Macaca fascicularis: one gene and its partner. The protein of the gene in region 2 interacts with the protein of the main gene of each other region in a pairwise test. Links are inferred from orthologs where the notes say so. Each region holds a gene or a part of one and is shown on either strand. Other genes may lie near its edges.

What was found.
Region 1: the proteins of BPTF (region 2) and MAZ interact in a two-hybrid assay, tested with the Homo sapiens proteins (2 studies listed by BioGRID). The link is inferred for Macaca fascicularis from reciprocal best matches to the Homo sapiens genes BPTF and MAZ.

The regions. Positions count from the first base shown.
Region 1 is NC_088394.1:28,296,810-28,300,762, forward strand, and holds the start of MAZ (myc-associated zinc finger protein), read right to left. Parts: upstream 2,802-3,953; 5' UTR 2,472-2,801; coding exon 2,280-2,471; intron 2,198-2,279; coding exon 1,347-2,197; exon of another isoform or gene 952-1,346; coding exon 888-951; intron 750-887; exon of another isoform or gene 611-749; coding exon 439-610; intron 1-438. Other genes in the region: kinesin-like protein KIF22, read right to left, coding at 3,868-3,915. UniProt on the Homo sapiens protein: Transcriptional regulator, potentially with dual roles in transcription initiation and termination.
Region 2 is NC_088390.1:74,343,595-74,347,104, forward strand, and holds part of BPTF (nucleosome-remodeling factor subunit BPTF), read left to right. Parts: intron 1-2,457; coding exon 2,458-2,637; intron 2,638-3,510. UniProt on the Homo sapiens protein: Regulatory subunit of the ATP-dependent NURF-1 and NURF-5 ISWI chromatin remodeling complexes, which form ordered nucleosome arrays on chromatin and facilitate access to DNA during DNA-templated processes such as DNA replication, transcription, and repair.

The DNA.
Region 1 (3,953 bases), on a different chromosome or scaffold from region 2:
AACCGGTGAGTCTGACTGAAGGCAGCTTTCTCTGCTACCCGTGCAGGGTGCGTGCTGGTAAATCCCAGCCCGTGTACTACTCCACCTGCCCCAGGAGCTGGAGACAAGACCTTGTGGCTGCGCGGCGGAAACCTTGCCTTGTGACCCTTGGAACTGGCTTTCTTGACTACTCCCTTCCCCAGAGCAGCCAAGTTCCACTCCCGCTCTCCCCACGTATGCCCAGGAGGTTCAACCTCTCTGGCAGATCTCTCCTCCAGCCAGGACTTAAGAGTCTAACAACATTAATTCAGGTGTCCCCCGCTGCTCCCTTGACCTCTTGGAGGACTCTAGACGCCACGAGCTCTTGGCTACAGCACCCTTAGCCCGTATCCGTGGCAGGGCGTCTGGCTAGGCGCCCACCCTCTGCCCCTGGCCCTCCCGGCAGTCCTCGGCATGTACCTTTGTTGCAGAGCTCACAGACATGGTGAGGGCCCTGGCTGTGCACCTTCATGTGGTCCGAAATATAAGCCGAGCTCAGCATCTTGCCACACACGTGACATGGCACCTTCTCCTCGTGTCGAACTGTGTGCGCCCGCAGCCGATCCTTCGTGGCGAAAGCTGCCTCACATTTCTGGGGAGGGGGGAGGGGCGTGGGGGGTGTCACAGGAGAGTTAAAGCTTGGCGGGCTGGGGAGGGGGGAGCAAGAGGTTAAAGGTATCAGAGCCTTGGGGATCTTTGATCTGTAGGAAATGGGAGTGACATGATGAGGCCTTGAAAAAGGGATGAGAAAATGGAGTGAAAAGGCAAAAAGAAGAGAGAGAAAAAGGGGGTCTGAGAGGCTGAACTCAGACAACTACCATGAGGATCAAAATCATGAAAACCAGGACGGGAGGAGGCGGGCTTCCTACCTCACATTTGAAGGGCCGTTCTGTTGAGTGCACTTGTCTGACGTGACTGTTGAGGTGATCCGGCCTGGGGACACGTTGGGGTTGGGGTTAGGGCGCAGGTGGTGCGCCCCAAATCCGCCAACCTGCACCACAGGCCTTTCCGGGGATCCCTGCGCCTCCTCCCGGAGGCCGGGCCGTCACAGCGCCACTTCGGCAGGAAATCCCTCCCCTGGAACCCAGCCGCTGCCGCCGCCGCCTCCTCCCACGCTTAGCTTCCGTCAACCCCAAGGCCCACCTCCTTGACAAAGGACCACCCCTTGCTCCCTGGTAACCGGGAGAGGCTTCCTCCCTCCGCCCTGGGAGGGGCTCCCCTTCCCCAACCTCAGCAGCCGCCTCCCTCCCCGCCAGCAACGGCCAGGCCACCTCCGTCGCGTCCCTCCCTCCCCACGGCCTAGCGGGCGGCCGAGGCCCCGTGCACACCGGGAGAAGCTCTTGCCACAGTGGGAGCAGTTGTAGGGCTTGTGCACAGCGCCGTCATGTGAGCGCACGTGGTAGCTCATGCGGTCCTTGCGCTTGAAGCGCTGCTGGCACACCGGGCACTGGTAGGGCTTCTCGTCCGAGTGCGACAGCTTGTGTCGGTTCAGGTGGTAGACGTCGCGGAAGGCCTTGCCGCACATCTCGCAGGCGTGGTTCTTCCGGATGCGCTTCCCCGAGGCGGTCGTGGTCACCACGCCACCGGCGGCCACTGCGGCAGCGCCGCCGCCGGCACCCGCCTCTCCCCCTCCCCCGCCAGCTCCGCTCAGCTGGGGCACGCTCAGGAGGCTCAGGGGCACCATGGTGGGCATCTTCATAGCACCCGAGGGGACCCGGCCGGCCTTGGCTCCCGTGTGGATGGCTTCGTGCCTCCGGAGATTGTAGCCGTTCTTAAACTCCTTGGCGCACAGAGCGCAGATGTAGGGCCCCTTGCTCTTTGTCTTCTTCTCCAAGGCAGACGCAACCGGGGCCACTGCGACCGTCGAGGTTGGGGCTACGACAGCGGTGGCCGCCGCCGCGGCGATGGTGGCGGCGGAGGCGGGGGGCGCGGCCTCGGCCGTGGGCGCCGACACGGGCGGGGGTGGCGGAGGGGGCGCCGGGGGCTGCTTCAGGGCTGCTGTGTCCACCGTGGAGGCAGCGGCAGGGGCCGGGGGCGCGGCAGCGACGGCGGCAGCAGCGGCGGCGGCGGCCGCAGCAGCCGCGGCGGACTCCTGGGCGGCGGCAAGCACCGGGAGCAAGTCCACCTGGAGGGGCTCGGCCGCCGGGGCCTGGGGCGTGGGCGGGGGCGCCGGCGCGGCCTACGGAAACAAGGCGCCGAGTGGGCCGCGAGTGCGGGCGGGCGCCCCCCCAGCCCGGGCCGCCGCGGCCGGCCCTACTCACCTGGAATGGACTCTGGGCGCAGCCCTGGGAGGCAAAGAAGCGGGACTGGAGCTCAGCCCCGACCTGCAGGGGGTTCTGGGCGTGACCCTGAGGTGGCGGGAAGGAGTTCATGAGGCCGCCCACCCCCCGGGAGTCCAGGCCCAGCACGGGGAAGGGGGGGGCCAGCAGCGTGCAAGGGAACACCGGGAACATGGCCTCGGCCGCAGCGGGGCCCCCGGGGCTCAGCGGGGGCCGGGGGCGCGGGCCGCGCGGGGCCCGGGCTCGGGGCGCCGCCCCCGGCCGGCCGGGCTGGGCCGCGCCGAACGCATGGCCCGCGGGCCGCCCCGCCGCCCGCGCACCCCGGCCGGCGGGAGGGAGGGAGGGAAGGAGGGCGCCTTGCGGGCCGCGGAGCGCCGCGGCGACGGCGGCGGCGACGCCCCCTGGGTGGGGGCGGGAGGCCCCGCGGGGCCGGGGCCGGGGGCGGGGGCCCGGGCGGCGGCGGCGGCGGCGGCGGCGGCGGCGGCGGTTGGAGCCTGGCGGGGCGGGGTGGGGGGAGCGAGGGAGCAGCCTCGGCCCCCGCCGCGCGCGCGCCCAGCCGGCGCCTCGGGGAGGGCGGGGGAGGGCGCGAGGGAGGGAGGGGGACAGCTGCGCGCGCACCGGGCGCGCGGAGGGGGGGTGGGACGGGAGGGAGGGCGGGCAGGAGGGGGTGTGGGCAGGGGGGTGGGGGCGGGGGGAGGGGGTTGTTACCTGGAAGATGAAGCTGCTCCAGTTGCTGGGATCCATGGCGGAGGGAGGGAGGGAGGTGGCTCGCGCTCACCCTGGGGCGGGAGGAGGAGGAGGCGGCGGTGGGGGAGGGGGAACCCGGGGAGGAGGCGCGCGGGGCGGGCAGGAGGGGGGAGGTGGAGGGTGGGGGGAGCGGAGCACACTGCGCGCGGGGAGGGCGGGCGGGGGGCGCGAGGACACACAAGAGGCTGGAGCGGGCGCGAGCGCGAGCGCGCGCGTGGCCAGCGGGAGGGGCGGGCGCGAGAGGGACTCTGGCGGGCGGAGGGACGGGGGAGCCACCCAGCAGCCCGAGTCGCCCCAAGCGCGAGACCCCTGAGACGGCTGCTGATTGGCTGACGATGGCGCAGGTGGTGGGCGCGCGGGAGACGGGGCGGCTTCTCTCCTCTTCCCCCCTCCAACGATTCCACCCCCCTCCCTCCGCCAGCGGCCGTTATTTCGCGCGCACGCGCACAAGGCCGCCGCCGTTGCCGAGCGGGAGAGTGGGGGAGCGCGCGCCGGGGGCACGGACGGGGCGGGGCTAATCCCTGAGCGCGCGCCCGCCTAACGGTCGCAGGCCTCATGCTTCGGCTTCCTCTTTTTGCGTCCTGCCGGCCACCGTCCTCCCCGCCCCACTCCAGCTGTTTATTTACAATCCAGCGCTGACTCGCTGCCCGAAGATGGCGCCCAGTGGAGTCTCCGGCCTCGCTCGCGGCCCACCCCGAGGCGGTCACACCCCGGTCCCGCCCCCACAGCCCCAAAAATCAGGCGGAAGCACCAGAGAAAAAACTGTATTTACACAACACGGGGTTATACAAGGATTTAAAAAGGCGAAGTGAAGAGACGACGGTCAGGAGGGGCCACAGCGCTGGCCGGCGGCGAGACCCAGGATGTTTGCCTGCAACACAGGAGGGAGGGGGGCAGCGACGTTAGAGA
Region 2 (3,510 bases):
CCAGGAGTTTGAGGTTGCAGTGAGCTACAATTGTGCTGTTGCACTCGAGCATGGATGACAGAGCAAGACTCAATCTCTTAAAAAAAAAAAAATCTTTAATTCAGTACTAATTCACTTCTTGAGGAGTCGTGTATCTGGTAATCTTAGCATTGTTGCACGTAAGAGAAAACCAGAAAGGAAGTGATAGAGGCTTCCAAAACACTGTCACATAAATGAGGTTTTTTTGTGGGGGTTGGGAGGTTGTTTTTTTTGTTTCTGTTTTTGTTTTGTTGAGATGGAATCTCGCTCTGTTGCCAGGCTGGAGTGCAGTAGCGTATCTCGGCTCACTGCAACCTCCGCCTCCCGGGTTCAAGCAATTCTTCTGCCTCAGCCTCCCAAGTAGCTGGCACTACAGGCGCATGCCACCATGCCCAGCTAATTTTTGCATTTTTTGTAGAGATGGGGTTTCACCATGTTGGCCAGGATGGTCTCGATCTCTTTACCTCAAGTGATCTGCCTGCCTTGGCCTTCCAAAGTGCTGGGATTACAGGTGTGAGTCACTGCTCCCAGCCAAATTTTGTCACTCTTGGTTCAGTTGTCACTGACCACTTTTTTAAATTCTGTAGTGTTTTAAAACAAATCCCAGAAATCATGTTTCACCAGAAGTTCAGTATATATCGCTACATAGACATTTTTTCCATAACCATCATGTCATTATCACACTCAACAAATTAACTATAATTAATAAATTAATCATCTGATTTTCAGTCCATATTCCACTTGCCCTAGTTGTCTTAGAGGTACCTTTTTACTGTTAGCAGTAAACCAGGTCCAGGCAAGGCCACACATTGCATTTCCTGATTTTTCTTCAGTCTTTTATTCTGTTATATAAACTTCAAGGAGTCCAAGAACCATTGAAATAGATTACAAAAGTTTATATACATACTTTTTTCCTTGGTAGAGGATCATAGTATTTATCCATTTCTAATAGGGTTCTGTGACACAAAGTATGTTAGAAACCACTAATGTGGACTTTCTGGAATCATCGAACAGATTGTGATAATCCTTTATACACGAGTTTTCTTTCATTATATTTTTGTGTGTGTGTGACAGAGTCTCACTCTGTCAGCCAGGCTGGAGTGCAGTGGCACCATCTCAGCTCGCTGCAAACTCCACCTCCCAGGTTCAAGCAGTTCTCCTGCTTCAGCCTCCCAAGTAGCTGGGACTACAGGCTCGTACCACCACGCCTGGCTAATTTTTGTATTTTTAGTAGAGATGGCGTTTCACCTTGCTGGGCTGGTGTTGAACTCCTGGCCTCAAGTGATCTGCCTGCCTCAGCCTCCCAAAGTGCTGGGATTACAGGCATGAGCCACCACACCCACCCAAATTTTATCACTTTTGTTTCAGTTATCACCACTTTTTTTTTGTTGAGATGGAGTCTCATTCTGTTACCCAGGCTGGAGTGCAGTGGTACGATCTCAGTTCACTGCAACCTCCACCTCCCAGGTTTCAGCGATTCTCCTGCCTCATCCTCCTGAGTAGGGATCACAGGTGTGCACCACCATGCCTGGCTAATTTTTCTATTTTTAATAGAGACGGGGTTTCACCATGTTGGCTAGGCTAGTCTTGAACTCCTTGTCCTCAAGTGATCCACCTGCCTTTGCCTCCCAAAGTGCTAGGATTACAGGCATGAGCTACCACACCCATCCAAATTTTATCACTCTTGTTTCAGTTGTCACTGACCGCTTATTTTTTTTAAGACGTAGTCTCGTTCTGTCACCCAGGCTGGAGTGCAGTGGCATGACCTCAGCTCGCTGCAGCCTCCGCCTCCTAGGTTCAAGCAATTCTCCTGCCTCAGCTTCCTGAGTAGCTGGGATCACAGGTGCGCACCACCACGCCCAGATAATTTTTGTATTTTTAGTAGAGATGGGGTTTCACCATGTTAGCCAGGCGGGTCTGAAACTCCTGACCTCAGGTGATCCACCCACCTCTGCCCCGCATAGTGCTGGGATTATAGGCATGAGTCACCACGCCACCCTGTAGCATTAATGTTTATCTTGTAGCTATGTTACTGAATTAACAATTTTTTTTTTTTGGACGCAGAGCCTCACTCTGTCACCCAGGCTGGAGTAGAGTGGCATGAGCCTCTGCACCAGGTCCACTTTTTTTTTTTTTTTTTTTTTAATCCTGCAGTGTTTTAAATCAAATTTCATAAATCATGTTTCACCAAAAATGTTTGTACAAAGTTTTCTGAAATGTCTGAAATTCAGTCATTCTTTCTATGTTTTAGGTCAGCCAGGCATATAGGATTATATGGTACCTTATACTCAATAAGACCTTTGTCCTTTTTTTTTTTTTTTTAATGAAAAAATGAAACATAACTTGCTGGAAAATACTTGTTTGTTTTCACTAAACTTGACATATTAAAGTACTAATACTGGAAATAACGTTAATTATGCTATACACGGTTCTTTTTAGCCAAAAATAATATGGATGAAAATATGGATGAGTCAGATAAAAGAAAATGTTCACGAAGTCCCAAAAAAATAAAAACAGAGCCTGATTCTGAAAAAGATGAGGTAAAAGATTCAGATGCTGCAAAAGGAGCAGACCAAAGTGAAATGGATATCTCAAAGATTACTGAGAAGAAGGACCAAGGTAAGGAGAGTCAGCTGTGGAGGGCAGCCTGGGGGTGATAAGAATGCAGTGGATCGGGGTCCCACCACAGGAAAGGTACTGCGTTGTGTTTTCTTGATAATAGCTTTATTAAAATGTAATTCATATCCCATACAATTCACCCAATTAAAGTGTAAATTCAGTGGTTTTTAGTATAGTCACAAAGTTCAACCATTATCACGTCAATCTTAGAACATTTTCATAACCTTGAAAAGAAGCCTCATTCATACCCATTAGCAGTTACTTACCAATCCTTCCCCAAAGTGCCGCCAGCTTAGCGGTCTTCTTTCTGTCTCTCTGGATTTGCCTATTTTGGACAGTCCATAGAAATGGAATCAGGCAATATGTGGTCCTTTGTGGCTGGCTTCATCCACTTAGCATGTTTTTAAGGTTCATCCATGTTGTAGCATGTATCAGTACTTTCTTTCTATTTCTGAATAATACTCTGTATGGATATGCCACATTTTGTTATCCATTCATCAGTTGATGGACATTGGGCCGTTTCCTCTTTTGGCTATTATGAATAATGCTGCTATGAACATTCATGCAGAAGTTTTTTGTGGCCAAGCGTTTTCACTTCTCTTGGAGATATACCTAGAAATGGAATTACTGGATCATATGGTAACTCTGTTTAACCTTTTGAGGAACTACATTGTCTTTTGTAACAAGTCATTTTTTAAAAAACTAAATAAGCTAAATAATGCATGTGGCTAGAGATACGTTATAACTGTAAAAGTCTATACAAAATATTACATGAAGGTACTAGCGTGTGCAGTAGCCTGCCACATACTAAGTACTTTTTCATTATGGCATTCCATCGTTTTTAGATACTAAGGATCAGAATATTTAATTATT